Linked DNA regions of Alligator mississippiensis. The protein of the gene in region 2 purifies or fractionates together with the protein of the main gene of each other region. This does not show direct contact. Links are inferred from orthologs where the notes say so. Each region holds a gene or a part of one and is shown on either strand. Other genes may lie near its edges.

Evidence for each region. Proteins that work in one complex are often made in the same cells at the same time.
Region 1: the proteins of PSME1 (region 2) and PSMA4 purify together in Homo sapiens (affinity purification with western blotting; 4 studies listed by BioGRID and IntAct, with this or other methods). This does not show direct contact. The link is inferred for Alligator mississippiensis from reciprocal best matches to the Homo sapiens genes PSME1 and PSMA4.

The regions. Positions count from the first base shown.
Region 1 is NC_081834.1:30,788,288-30,796,138, forward strand, and holds the start of PSMA4 (proteasome subunit alpha type-4), read right to left. Parts: upstream 3,043-7,851; 5' UTR 2,893-3,042; intron 2,507-2,892; 5' UTR 2,484-2,506; coding exon 2,481-2,483; intron 1,158-2,480; coding exon 1,115-1,157; intron 1-1,114. Other genes in the region: HYKK (hydroxylysine kinase), read right to left, coding at 3,846-4,309, 5,095-5,278. UniProt on the Homo sapiens protein: Component of the 20S core proteasome complex involved in the proteolytic degradation of most intracellular proteins. This complex plays numerous essential roles within the cell by associating with different regulatory particles.
Region 2 is NC_081830.1:7,786,019-7,793,002, reverse strand, and holds the start of PSME1 (proteasome activator complex subunit 1), read right to left. Parts: upstream 3,056-6,984; 5' UTR 2,959-3,055; coding exon 2,920-2,958; intron 2,653-2,919; coding exon 2,620-2,652; intron 2,044-2,619; coding exon 1,981-2,043; intron 1,398-1,980; coding exon 1,308-1,397; intron 1,172-1,307; coding exon 1,117-1,171; intron 762-1,116; coding exon 664-761; intron 1-663. Other genes in the region: FITM1 (fat storage-inducing transmembrane protein 1), read right to left, coding at 4,282-4,885, 5,395-5,627; DCAF11 (DDB1- and CUL4-associated factor 11), read right to left, coding at 6,590-6,718, 6,859-6,965. UniProt on the Homo sapiens protein: Implicated in immunoproteasome assembly and required for efficient antigen processing. The PA28 activator complex enhances the generation of class I binding peptides by altering the cleavage pattern of the proteasome.

The DNA.
Region 1 (7,851 bases), on a different chromosome or scaffold from region 2:
AACCAATGGTTACTAAAAGCTAAATGGTGATCACCCCATCCTAGGAACAAGTCCTATGGCTGCTACTGGTAGCTGAAGGTAAGGTGGATTAGTGCCTTATAGACTAACTAAATCAGAGAAAGCACATGCTTTAAAAAGCAGCATCTGACAAAATAAGCTGGTATGAAGAGCTGAAGGAAGCAGAGCTTCCAAACAGAAAACAGTGACTAGAAAACAAGGGGTACAATTAAACTGTCAAGAACGGATAAACTCACACTAAGAGAGCCACTTGGCCTTTACTCAGTCCATAACTACTACCAGGCTTCAATGCCTAGTTTATTTTACATTAGGCCTCTCCCACTCTAATAAACAAGCCCTAAAAAGCAGCAATTACTACACTATGTAGTAGGGGTGCACCAATAAAAACTTTTTTGGCCGATACCATATTGGCCAATACTGATCCAATTGCTGATATGTAGTCCAGTAGCTTAGAGAGCAGCATCTGGCCGGTAAGTCTACTGGAGGGAAGAGGCATGGGGGAGGGAAGGAGTGTGGCAGCTTGAGGCCCCCACAGTGAGGGAGAGAATGGGACCAGGGCAGGCATTGGCCAGCTAGGGCAGGGTGGGGTGGGAGATTGTGCTGCAGGCAGCTCATCCAGGGGGCAAAGGGGGCTCCCCACCTTTGTGCACACCCCTGGGGGAATGCCACAAAGGGACACGTGTCCCCCAGATTTGAGCATGGGGCGAGGACAGGCTGTCCGCTGCAGGCTTGGGGCTGGGGCCTGCACCAACCTGTTCCTGATGGGGGTACTGGGCCGGGGCTGTGCTCGGGGTGGGCAGCGCTGGGAGGGGGGCTACAGCCACGCTAAAATTCACCATAGCCCCCCCCCCCCCCATAATAAAGCAAAGGATCTTTAATGCCTCTGTTCTTAAATCAAAAAATTGAAAGTAGTGCTCCACTTTGACCACACAGTTTTGGGTGTTATTCCTAATGTGAAAACCAGATTTAAGTAATATTTGACATATCAGACAAAGTGTAAACATCCAACATGACAGCTTTTCACAAGTTTAGCTGCTATTTAATTTTCAGAAAAAGCTGAAGGGTCCAGTGATTCATTCCCATTCACAAAAAATACCTTCTGGAGAAAATATAGTAGTTCTGGAATCATATCTTCGAGACTGTTTAAAGAAAAAAACAAAGCAAAAACAACTTACTTTTTCTGTTCTATTGCCACAAGAAGAAATTTTATACTAGTCATCTTTTCAATCACATGTAGAAGCCATCCAGTGACCCCACTCTCTTATTTACAAGAGACAGCAAGCAGCACAGCAGGCAATTTTGTTGCCATTAGAACCTTTCATTGGTGGTCAAGGAGCAAGTATTTAATGCAGGGGTGGACAACTATTTCAGGCAGAGGGCCGCTTAATGAGCTTTGGTGAGCTGTTGAGGACCACATGGATAGCCCTGGCCCCTGACAGTTGCCCTGCCCCCTGATCGCCACCTTGGGACCAGAAGTCCCACCCCCTAACCCTTGTCACTGGAAGTCCCTCCCATTGCTCCCCCACCCCCCATACTCCTTTTGGGAGGGGGTTGCCACCTTAGAACCAGAAAAAAAACCAAAGCATACACTAAAAGTCCAACACCTACTATAACATATTTTAATTTCATTACAAAAAATATTTTGGTTATGATTTGTTTGCATACTGTATATAGAGGTGACCGCACATATTTGTAGTCTTGTATATTGTGGGGGGGTGGTTGGGGATGTGCGTGTGCGGTAGGGGGGTTGTGACTGTGTGGGGGGCAATAGGGTACGTTGGGGGGTTGTGTATATGTGGACAGTTGTGGGGGCAGGGTGTGGGTGTGTGGCATTTGTGAAGTGCGAGGGAAGGTGGGGAGATATGGGACCCCCCCCCACGCTTCCTTTAGGGTGTGGCAGCAGCAGGCGGGGGCACTCATGCCGTCAGGGCGCAGCCTCCACTGGGCAGTCTCTATCCCCGGCACTCCCTGCCGCGCACATGCAGCCCCTGCACTCATACGGCATGGGAGGGAAGCCCCATGGGCCCAGCCCTAATGTCCATGAGGGTGGGAGCAAGGCACAATAGGATATGTTGTTTTTTTTGGGGGGGGGCAGGTATACACATGGGCACCTCACTCACATCCTCATAGGCGGAAGGGCTAGGCAGTGCACAACTTGTGGGTGGGCGCTGTGGGCTAAATGAAAGTGCTGGGCAGCCACAGGCTGTATTTTACTCGCCCCTAATTGAATGCATATTTACCTCAATACACTTTTCCCTTACTCCTGGTCTTTCTTGTGAAGTTTGAGCCCAACCCTGCAATATTTCTGTGCACGTTTTTCCAGATAAACTTAAACGTTACTACTGGCAAGAGCGGAGCCTCCATTTCCCACTGATTATCTGTTATCTGATTTAGCTGTTGAAGAGTTTAACCAATTAAGTGAACAAGGGACTAAAGAGCTGAGCCGTCAGGTATTAACTCACCATGTTGCTGGGAAGTTTACGTTAGGCTGCAAATGAAAATGAAAGTTGTCAGGTGACAACAAGATACCCAGGGCACGCCGAGGACGCTGGAGGCATTTATTTAACCAGGACGCTTGCACTACAGCACGGGTCCCCAAACCGGGTGACATCCCGCCGTAAAAGCGAGGCACCCACCCCCTCCCGCCCCCGCCCCCAGCAGGGCAGCAGCACGGGCCCCGGGGGCTCCCGCCGGCCCTGGGCCGCGCCGAGTCGAGCCCGGCTCCTCGAGGCGGCAGTGCACAGTCATCCCCCACCCCCCGCGCTAAGCCCGGGGCAGCCCCGCAGCCCCCGCCGAGCCTGGACACCCGCCCCCCTCGGGGGCCCGGACCCCACCCCGCCCCGCCCCCACCCCGCGGGCGCCGCCAGCACTCACCGCGGGGCTCCAGGGGCTGCGGGGGACCGGTCAGCCGACAGCACTCCACACCGGCTTCAGCCAAAGATGGCCGCCGCGCATGCGCGCTGGCTCTGCCCGGCCGGAACCGAAGAGGCGGGACCTGGATGTGACGTTGAGCCCCGCCCGGCCGCGGGCCGCAGGTAGAATCGCGCTCACAGCACCCCCCCGGCCGCGGCTGCCTCGGCCCAGCTTCCCGCCCCGACGCGGTCAACGCCTGGGAGCGTCTGTGCGCCCCGGCCTGCTCGGCTCGAGAGCGCAGGGTGGACGGCTACAGACATACTGTGAGCATAGGACCCCCTGGGGCTATTACACATTAGGAAACCCCCTAGGGGCTCCGGGTCCAAAATAGAGGACACGGGGTTGGGGGGGGGCAGTGACATGCCAGTGCCCTGCCCCTGCCCCTCACTCCCAAACCGCAGCCCCCTGCCCCCACCCCTTGCTGGTACCCCTCTCCTGACCCACAGCCCCTGGCACTGCCAGTGCCCTGCACATCCAACCCACAGTGACCCATCCCCCTCCCAGCCCTGCTGGTACCCCTCACTCTTGACCCGCAGACCCCTGCCCCCCCAGCCCTGCTGCCCAAGCAGCTCCTGTGTTGCATGCACACCGGCTCTCTCACACACCTCTTTCTCACTCTCTCTGGTTGCTGGAGCCCGCACTGGGAGTATGTGATCCCCAGCAGCCACTGGCACTGCCCACTGCTCCCAACCCCAAACAGCCACCCCAGGAGAGCAGAAAACCCTGACATTTGCTCTTAATTTAAAAACCCACCTGGATGCAGCATAGGGGTCCAAAAAAAAAGACATGTTCAGGAAAACCCGGATGTATAGCTTCTGTCATAACCTACGTTTAATAACTGCAGCCCAGTCCCAGCACTGCAAGTTGCAGGTTTCCTTACATCCCTGTGTATCTCCTCAGTGGAAATATGCAAGCTAGGCCTGGGCAGCACTGGCATAGGCATCTGCAGTTTCAAACCAGATCTTCTCAACCACTTCTTGGCCCACCTCAAACAGTTGGACTAAGTGCTTCCATCCCACTCGGGCTGTGATCATCAAGTATTCCTGATTTTCAGGATATAACTGCAAAGTGTGAGCCGCTACTACCAGCGATTGAGAGAACCTACCGCTCACCAAAAGGAAGAGGGCACCTCTCTCCTCTGGCGTCAATGGCACGATGCTTTCAAACCCTGCAAGCACATGTCCTCCAACGCTGAGAGGATCTTTGCTCTCAATCATCATGTACATGATTGCTATGGCTACTTCAAATACATAGTAACCGTAGCTCATATCACTAAAATCCAGAATGCCAGTCACTCTGTACTGTGCCCTCTCAGAGGAAGATGCAGGGTTGCAGTCCACCAAGATGTTATGGTCATTAAGGTCCCCATGATTGATACCTGAATGCAAAAAGGAGAGAGAACGTATTATGTACAAACAAGAAAAAGAAAAGTAGTAAACAAAGAGTGGAAACTTTGCCCATTCTCTTGAGAAAACTAAATTGAAAACACGTACATATGAAGAGGGAATGAAGTTAACACTCCCAGATTAACTGCATGCCTATTCTGGTCTGCCTCAACAGAACCGAATCCTGACAATATTGCTATAACTCTCATGCTTTCCTGGTTCTTTATAAGAACCTGTTTCATTATCATATATAAGCACATTAGATAAGTGGCATTTGGATGTTTATGATTTATTACTTAGCTTTTATAGCACCTAAAATGTGCCACCTGCTATCCAGACACAAAGATTCATGCACAAGGTCATGAAGCCTTTCACTGCTGGATTACCATTGTCACTAATTTAGGTTATTTTGAGAGACATTGCTCTTTGACAACTGTCAGCGGCCAATATGAAATGAGTAAGAAGCCTTCATCTAGTTCTACTAAACTCTTGTTATATTATGAAAATCTCCACAGTAATTGGCACCCTTGCTGGGAATCTCAGCAAACAGGCTAAAACTAAACTCCCTTTTAACTCATGAAAATAATTCATTCCTCCCAGGCCTGGTTTGGGTCTTGTTCACCGAGCATTGCGAGCAGCTTGTATATGTTCAGGAGTACAATAAACAATTTCCTATAGTGCCCTGTATTTGGCTCTTTTTATAAGCACGCAAATTCTCTTGGAATCATTTCTTACATTCAGGAAGTCTTACAGCAAAACTGTGTTAGAAACTACTCACAGGCTCGAAAATTGCTTAGGTTGGGTAAGATTTTCTCTTTAAACTGTTGAATTACTTGGCTCACAACTTCACAGTATTCGCTCTGGCCCAGGGCATGAATATACTGATCCAAAAGAGGAACATTTGCCAAGTTCCAAATGAACTTCCCTCGATGAAGACTTTTTACTGATGGATGATGGAATTTCTTCAGGAAATCATAAAATAGAAAAAAGGATATAAACGATAGTTTCGTTATTGCATACAAAGGCAACAGAAAGTCTTTAATGGACTTTAACTGGATTTAGATCACATTTATAGAGCAGCATTATGGCTTTGATGACCATTGCCACCAGTGTCCTCCCGCAAGATGACCTTATCATCCACTGCCACCTTTGGGTGAGGCTTCTGTAAATCTTTCAGTAATGGAGATTATCCTAAATTATTCATTAAAATAGTGCCTATGATAAAATCTTACACACATGCGGCTGCTTTCAACCTCAGAAATCCCATGGTCTCTCACAAATTCTATACTGTGTATAGAGTCAAAGCACTCCTCATTAAACTCAAAGCATCCTTCAGAAAATGCTAACTCTTAGCTTTCATTTGTTTCTGGACTATGAAATAGCAGAAACGCTCTATTGCAAAGGACTCAGAAAGACCATGAAAGGTCAGAGTGTTCTTGACACTATGGATTCCCATCTGATAGCTCTGGGTTTATCTTATGAATCATGTGCAAGTGTCTGCACACCTAACTGTTAATACTGCGTGGCACTCTTAAAAGAATCTCAAGGTGTCACTTTCTATACCATCCAATAATACTTTATTGGCACAACTAGCTGAACAAATGTTGCTCAAATAAAAAAGAGAGAATGTTCAGGTACATTAGGAGAGAACACACAGCTGTGCAAGAGCAAATGCTAGAACAAAGCTTTACTTTTCTAAAAAAAAGTGTCATGAGATCAGGAATGCCCACCCAACAGAGGCAGGTGTCACCCAGAAGACCTGCACACAATTATATTATGTGACTCATTTACCGGAAAAGGAGAAACAGCCAAGTCAGCCATACTCTAGCAGATCTAGGGAGTCTAGGTATTTCAGATTTATTGGTAATCCATAAACTACTAAATTATTTTCTTAATCCAAAAAGTAATATTTTTTTTAAGCTGTGCAAAGGCAGAGGGGCAGACAAGCATCTATTTGTATTTATGCCCTTATATTGGAATTCTCTCTCTGCATTGGTTAAGATGTCTTTAAGGCCAGATTCTGCCAGATGTATAAAATATCAGAGAACATCGGCCCAGATTTTGCTGTAGAATGAAATATCAGTTTAAAACTAGAGCTCTTGGTTTTAATAAAAGCCACTAGATATGCATGAAAATCACAGATACAAAGACCAGGATACTGCCTCAAAACTACAATGTGATTACAGCACCTCCAATGCAATAAAAAGAACACCACTTGTAGAACAATGCCACCTGCTGACAAAATACTACAATCTTCACATAGTGCCACACACAGTATCACAAGGTCAGTGTATGCATTAGAAGGCTACTCTTAATGTGAACTGAACTTTATATTAAAGTACCAGACCTTCCCAGTAGTCTGCCTGTCACTGTTTATCATTTTGTGACAACACATTCCTATTGTTTTTTGTAAATATATACATTGTAAATGTAAATTGTATATTGTAAATATATATATTGTAAATGTTTTTCCTCTCCTTTGTTCCCAGGTGAGACATATGCAGACTAACTGGGAAAAGAATAAAGTCAACTGTTCACAAAATGGCATCAATTGCATAAAGAAAATAAACTGGGAAAAAAGAGAATGTGTACCATTATCTCTGCTTTACAGACAGGGAGCTGGAGCCATGAGCATATATTTAACTTTTTCAAAGTCACACAGGATATCTGAACCCAGCCCTCCCAAGTCCCTACCTAATGTACCATCCTTCCTACCTGACAGTATTATTCAATCCATTGCATTTGTTCAGTCATATAGGTATGACTCTCACCAAAGACCTTACCCAAAACAATTTCCTGTGCATGGGTACCTGCTACTTTTCATGTTAATAATAAGTGAAAATGATCTTCAAGCTGCAACTGTACCAGCCAGCTGCTGCTAAACTGCTGAAGGGTGGCTATGAACTGCCAAGTTTGGATTCAGATCCAAACTCCCATAAATACCAGGGTTATTCACAGTAGAAATTTTGATTTAATCCCATCTAAAGAAAAACCCAGCACAGCTGCCAGGGAGGCATTGGGTTTGAAACACGCATTTAAGATTTCTGGCCCTTAATCCTGTAATAAGCTTTGTTGACCAGCATACAAATTATTAAATACACAATATGAAAAGGCTTTTTTAAAAAAACAGTAGGAATCATTTTTGTTCTTATTGCTAGTAATGGTTATAGTTTACAGGTCTTCAAAGAAGGTCAAGGGAATTCAGATGAGATCACTAGCTGAACAGTTCATTGCTGAAGAAACACAGGCTCCATCATGCTACTGCATGGCCAGATTTGTATTGTGACCCACCTCCCCAGGCCCACAACCAAAGGGAGTCTGCTGACAACTATAATTTTTTGTCATTAGGTGATTATTATTATTATTTAGATTTATGTCCTGCCCAATCCAGAAAGGCTCAGAGCAGTTTACAATAACAGACAGACAACTCACAAGGTAACACAAGCAAACATCTCAATCAGCACTCTAGAACTGTACAACTCCTCAGCACCCCACTTACTCCTCTGCGTCCTCCACCTATTACGCTGCTGGAGAG
Region 2 (6,984 bases):
AAGTGTGCAAGCATGTAGTGGTGCACGGTATTGTCTTGTTGCAGAGCAGTGTGCAGTTGTGTAGTGGTGTGTAGCATTGTGTGGTTCTGTAGCGGTGTGTAAAGTTGTGTAATAGCCTCCAGTTGTGGAATGGTGTGCAGTGTGCAGCTGTGTTGTGGTGTACAGTGTTGTGTGGCTGCTGTGTTGTGCACCACTCATCAGCCCCAGCTCCTCCCTAGAGTGCTGCATGACAGCATGGCATATGGCTATGGTGTTGTGCAGCAGTGTGAGGTCATGGTGTGCAGTGGAGCATGGCTGCGTAGTGGTGTAGCATAGCAGTGCGGTATTGTGTGGTCGCATAACTGTACAGTGTGACCTACCACTCCCAGCTCTTCCCTGGCGCCCTGCCCTGGGGTGCATAGCTCTATGGTTGTGTAGCAGTGTGCAGTTGTGTTGCATGATTGTGTAGTGGTGTTCAGCCATGTGGTGACATAGTTGCGGTGGTCTTTAGTGGCAGTGTGGTGTGACGTGCATACAGCCATATGATAATGGCGTATGGCTGTGTGGTCTCATGTGGTGGTGGAGTTGCATGTCCAGCCCCAGCCCCCCACCCCGGGCACAGCAGTGGCGGTGCAGGTTGCAGTTATGCGGTGCAAGGGTTTGCATCACTGCCGTGTCACTCACCAGCCCCAGCTCCTCCTTGGCACGCTGCAACCGGGGGGTGACGCGCTGCACCAGGCCCAGCACCACGGCGTTGCTGCTCACTGGGCCGCACGGAGGCCCTGCCGGCACTGGGGTTATACCTGCTCTGTGGCCTCCCAGCCCCTCCAACACCACCCTGAGACCCCCATGCCCCCCCAGTGCCCCCCCCACCCCCCCAGCACCCACCCTGGGGTCCCCGTGACCACCCGGCCCTCCCCACACCACCCAGTGCCTGACACCCCCCAGCCCCTGTGGACCCTCTATATGCCCCCAGCCCCATAATGCCCCAACCAGGCCCTCCCACCTTTCAACAACCACCAGCCCCTTCCGACCCACGCAATTCCTACCCCCAGCCCCCCACAGCCTTCCAACCCCCCATGACCCCTTCACATTTTCCACAACCCCCATCCCCCTGATGGCCCCCCACAGCCCCACCTTTGTCATCATCGTCCTTCTTGTCATCCCCCTTCTCCTTCTCCTTCTTCTCCTTCTGTGGGGGGGGGAGATAAGAGACCCTCTCAGACCCTTGGGTTCTCCCTGCAGCCGCCACACAGCCTGGACCCCCCACCCCAGATATCCCTGTGTGCTGGGCAACGCACACCTCCCCAGCTCCCCCCAGCCCTCACCTGGCGCTGGGCGTCCCGTTCGGGGTCGGGCAGGGGGATGTCCAGCTCAGCCCGCAGTGCTCCAGGGTCTACAAGGTTTAGCACGGGGTCCTGGTGTCGGGTGGAGAGATCAGTGGGTGCCCTGAACCCTGACTCCACAGAGACCCCTTGCCCGATCCCCCCAGCTCAGCTCCTCCCTCCCTCAACTCCCAGATACCCCCAGCACCCCCCATGCCCCTCCCAGCCCCCACTCCCTCCTGCCACCAGACACAAGCCCCAACTCTCTACAGACACCCCAACCCCCCTCCCTGACCCCCCACACCTCCCAGCCCCCACTCAATCCCCAACACCCCTTGGCTCCCCAAAGCCTTCTTTAGTGCCCCCACACCCCTCCCTCCAGCCCCAGTCTCTTCAGGTCCCCTACACCTTCCCCCTGACTGCAACCCCCTCAGCACACTCCACAATCCTCAGCCCCCTCAAATACCTCAGGCCCCCCCCCTCCACCCCCTCAATCCCAACCCATCTCTTGTTCCCCCCACCACCATCCCATGCCCTGGGCCCCCCAGCAGGACCTGGACCCTCCAAATCCTCCAGGCCTGCAGTCTCTCCCTATTCCCTTAGCACACCCACCCTGCCCAGATGCCCCCGAGCCCCCCATTTCTAGCCTCCCCCATGTCCTGCGCCCCCAATCCACCTTGAGGAGAGCGTCCAACTCTGCGATCTGCTCTGGGAACCGACTCCCCACCATCTGCTCAGTCTGGGGTGGGGGAACAGGACGGAGCACCTGAGAACAGCTCGCAGCCTTTGCCCCAGCCCACCCATCCCGAGGGCACTGCTGAGGGAAGCTCGCAGGCCTTCCCCCCCCCCTTCCCCGAGGGCACTGCTAGAGGAAGCTCACAACCCCTGCCCCCACCCCCCTAAGGACGCTGTTGGAGGAAGCCTGCAGTCCCTACTGCCCCCCCCCCGAGGGCACTGCTGAGGGAAGCTCGCAGGCCCTCACCCCCCTGCTCCCCGAGGGCATTGCTGGGGGAAGCTCACAGCCCCTGCCCCCCCCATCCCGAGGGCACTGCTGGGGGAAGCTCACAGCCTCTGCCCCTCCACCCTGTGGGCACTGCCAGAGGAAGCTCACAGCCCCTGCCCACCCCCCGCGTCCTGAGGATACCATTGGGGGAAGCTCACAGCCACTGCTGCCCCGCCACACCCTGAGGGCACTGCTGGGGGAAGCTCACATCCCCTGCCCCACCATCCCAAGGGCAGTGTTGGGAGAAGCTTGCAGCCCCTGCCCCTCCCCCAGCCCCAAGGGCACTGCTAGGGGAAGCTCGCAGCATCTCACCTCAGCACACAGCTGGCTGCGGAAGGCATCCACCTGGGTAGAGCACAATGGGGGGGGGTCACCAGGGCCCCCCCAAAACTCCCCCCAGCCCAGCCTGTGCTGCCTTCGCCAGCAACAGCCCCTCCATCTCCAGCGGGGGGTCTGGGGGGCTCCCAGCCACTTCCCTCCCACCCCATCCCCACCACACCGCTGGGGGCCCACAGGCCCAGCCAGGCCCCAAATACCCTGGCTAGGCCTCAGCTACTCCAGCCAGGCCTCAGCCCGGCTAGGCCCCTGCCCTCCCCACCCGCCCCCCCTCACCTGGGCCTGGCTGGCGGGGGGCAGGCGGAGGGCGGCCATGGCCGGGGGGCACCGGGGGGGTGTGGGGCCAGTCCAGGCACAGGCGCGTGGTACCGCAGCAGTGAGCGTGACAAGTGAAATCGAAAGCAGCAGGCCGGGGATTTCCGGTCTTGGACGGCAGCCAAAGGCTGCAAACTTCCTTCAGCAGTGCCCTCAGGATGGGGTGGGGGGAGAGGGGGGGACTGTGAGCTTCCCCCAGCAGTGCTGGCAGTGGTGGTGGGGGAGGAGGGGTGGCAGGACTGCAAACTTTCCCCACCAGTGCCCTCAGGGTGGGGCGAGACAAGGGCTGTGAGCTTTCCCCAGCAGTGACCTCAGTGGGGGTGGGGGTTTCAGACTGGTCTCTGATGCCTGGGTTTTCTGCCTCTCCCCCTCCCAGAGCCCTGGGCCCCCTCTCCCATTGGTTCCCCCCCACCAGAAGCCCCTCCACTTCCCCCAGGCACCTGGGTGCCCCCCCGGCCCCACTTCAAACACCAGGCAGGCAACGCCAGACTCAGAGGCCACCTTTATTCGTGCCCCAGCACCTCAGTTCTCAGCCTGGGCGTCTGCTTGGGCACCTGGGGCTACACCCCACATCGCTGCTGGGGCAGACGGGGACCCTGCCCTTCTCCAGCTGGTGTCCCTGGCTCTCCTGAACGAGCCGGTTCCCATCCCACATCCAAAGGTGGGAACAAGCTGCACGCATGACAAAAGTAGTCTGGCGTCAATTGACCGGTGGTCTCCCAGACGCTTGGGTCCCTTCTCCACGCCTGTTGGCCCCAGAAGGTGCCGAGGACACATGGACCCCTCAGTCGTCTCCTAGCGATGGCCAGGGGCAGGCTGTCCCAGATGCCGCGGTTCCTCAGCCCAGACAAGTCCACACTCCAGGGCAGGGGGAGACGCCCCTGCACAAGACTCTCCAGCTGATTTCCCCTCTCCTGGATGCCTGGGTTCCTGACTGAGCTTAGGATGAGTCCATTGCCCATTGCTGTGCAGAGCTTCTCCAGGTGTTCACCAGGCCTGGCCCACCCCAGATGCCTGGGTTCCCACCTTCTCCAGATGTTCTCCAGAGGTGGCCTCCTCCCAGATGTTTGCATTTCCACACATTGCCCAGAGATGGCCCCACCCTCTCCTCCTCCCGAAAACCCAGATTCTCACCTCCCACCTTCTCCCAGACACCAAGGTTGGCATCACCCATCTTCTTCTCCAGCTGTTCTCTAGACACTGAGATTTCCCACCCCCTCCCATCTCTGCATGTACCGCAGAGGCCACCCCATGCACTCTTTCTACTGGATATCCAGGTCCCCCGCACCCCACCCCCCTCCCCACCCCACATGCCAGGATCCCTCAGGCGCACTCGGCGGCCAGGGGGAAGAGGCCAGTGCCAGGGCGGCCAGGGGACCAGCGGCAGCGGTACCAGCCACGGTACGCCAGGGCCCAGCAGAGGGTGGCAGTGGCAGTACCAGCAGCATGGGGGGCATAGGGCGGCTGCCACAGCAGCGTGGCCACCAGCAGGGCTGGCCACAGTAGCAGCAGTGCCACATTGAATAGGAAGAGGGCATGGAGCGCGGCCCCCGCCCGCAGCCCCCGAGCCAGGCAGCGCCCAAACACGCCTGCCTCCTCCAGCACCAGCAGTGGGCAGAAGGTGAGCAGGAAGGCAGGCGCCGAGGGGGCAAAGCCAGTCCAGCGGTGCCCGCCTGCGCTGCAGGCTGCCTTGGAGGGCAGCGCGTTCACCAACCGCCCACCAGGCACCGGGTCATAGCAGTGGCCCGTCAGGTCCTCGGCCAGGGCAAAGGCAGCGCGGGCGCCCACCCAGAACCCTGCGCCCACAGCCAGTCGGCACAGTGGGCGCAGCGCTGCACCCACCCGTCCTGCTGCGCCTACTGCCAGCGGCAGCAGCAGCCCCGCCACCAGCAGGCTGGTCCAGCCCCAGGCCGACGCTACCAGTTTCCTGTGGACAGGAGGAGGCAGAGGTGAGGGGGGCACCTAGGCTCTGTCACCCACCCCTGCTCCAGCGCCCTCCTGCACTCATCTCCCTCTACCCCCAAATGCCCCATGCCCTGGACCTGTCCACACAACCCCATCCCCGTCCATCCCTGTTCCCCCACCCCTTGAGATCTCAAAGCCCCCCCAGACCTCAAGCCCAGTCCCCAACACCCTACAGATCCTGCCCCCAGTAGCTCCTGCCCTCCCACTCACTCTGCCCTGAGCCCCAACCCCAAGTCCCACCTCAGATGTCCCCTCACGCAGTTCCCTCCCCTCCCTTCCCAGATACAGACTGCCGTCCCTCCCATGACCCTCAGAGCCCCCAGTTCCCCCCTATCCACCCAACCCAGCACCCAAACTCCACCCACCCCCATGAACCCCCACCGAGGATCCTCCCTTGCCATCTCAAGACCTCTAAAGCCCACTCCCCCCCTCCCTGCTCCCAGCCCAGAAGCCCCCTGCCAGGGGACTCACACATGGAAGAAGTTGCGGGGGTTGGCGAAGACGGCATGGGGGCTAACGTACAGCCGCAGCAGGGGCGACAGCAGCACCAGCAGCGCGAGCCCGGCATGATAGGCCCGGCGTGTTCCCGGCAGCACCAGCACCCAGGCGGCCTGCTCCCCAGCCAGCTGCACCAGCCCTGCACCCAGGCCCCCTGCCAGCCCCAGTGCCCGCCGCGCCAGCCCCCACAGCTCCCAGGCCCCCATGGCACCACACTGACGGGCACAGCCTGGCCTGGCCCAAGACAGCTGCGGGGCCTGGCCTAAAAGTGACAGGTGGCAGCTGCTGGCTGATCCCAGGGGCCTGTGAGGGGGTGCAGACAAGAAGGCTGGAGGGGGGCAAAGGGAATCTGGGGGGGTAAGTAGAGAGTATTATCCCCTGCAGACTGGGTCGGGGGAAGAGGGGCTTCCCCCCCAAATCAAGGGGCACAGAGACACGTCTAGAGAGGTTTATTCTCAACATAGACAGCAGGTGACACAGACAGCCCCCGTGCAGCACAGGGCAGAAGGGGGGGCACAGAGCCCCTCCAAGTCCCCCATGCCTGGCCCTTCCATGCACGGGGGACCCGCATGGGACTGAGAATATGGGAGACACCCCCACACACTTCCCAGCCTTTAAAAAACAAGGGGGCATCCCCCCACTAGCAGAGAATATACAGCCCCACTTCTCCATGGAGGGGGGGAAAACAGAAGCCCCCCCCCCAAAATACCAGCCCCCCAAATCAGAGAGGCAAGGCAAAGCCAGGGACTCACAAAAGACCCACCCGAACCCAGAGACCACCCCTCCCCCACAGCGGGGGGGGGGGGAACAGCTGACGGGAGTTCAGGATGTGGGAGGGGAGGGGAGGTCAAGGACGGGCAGAGGAGAGGACCTAGATCTGGCTCCCCTCCGCCTGCCCGGAGCCAGCCAGCGCCCTCCCCCCTCTGTCAGAACTAGCACTGTCAGGAGGGCAAAGCCCCCTGCCCCACTCCTAAGCCAGCATCCCCGCCACGGGCAGGGAGCCCTCACCTGCCAGCCCCGCACCACCCGCCTCTGCCCAGGAACAGCAAGGCCCTGGCTCCACAAAGGGGGAAGCCCCACCCAAGGGTCCCTGTCCCTAGTGAGGAGGGGGGGGGCTGGATTGCATCGCCAATCTCTCCTGTGGGGGGGGGGCCACGATTGAGGTGCACTATTGGCTGGAGGAGCGGGGCGTGGCCCGGGAGGGCTTGGGGGCCACGGGGGGGCTCCCCGGGTCCCTGAGGTCATCCTCGTAGTACTCAGCCTGGCGGTGCTCCCAGACACGCAGGCTCCCGTCCCACTGCAGGAAGAAGGGGTGGGGGGAATTAGAGCACCCCCTGCTGGACGCAACTGGAGAATGCCTCCCCCCTCTTCAGCATTGCCAGGCCATAGATCTGCACCCCACCCCTCCTCCCCCCTGCTGGATCCTGACCCACTCACCGAGCTGCTCACAATCTTCTCCTCATAGGGGTGCCAGCTGACGTCCCGCACGCAGGCCTTGTGATTGGTCAGCTTCTTGATGATGCGCCCTGTCAGGAGGCTGTAAACTGGGGGGGACCGCGTTGG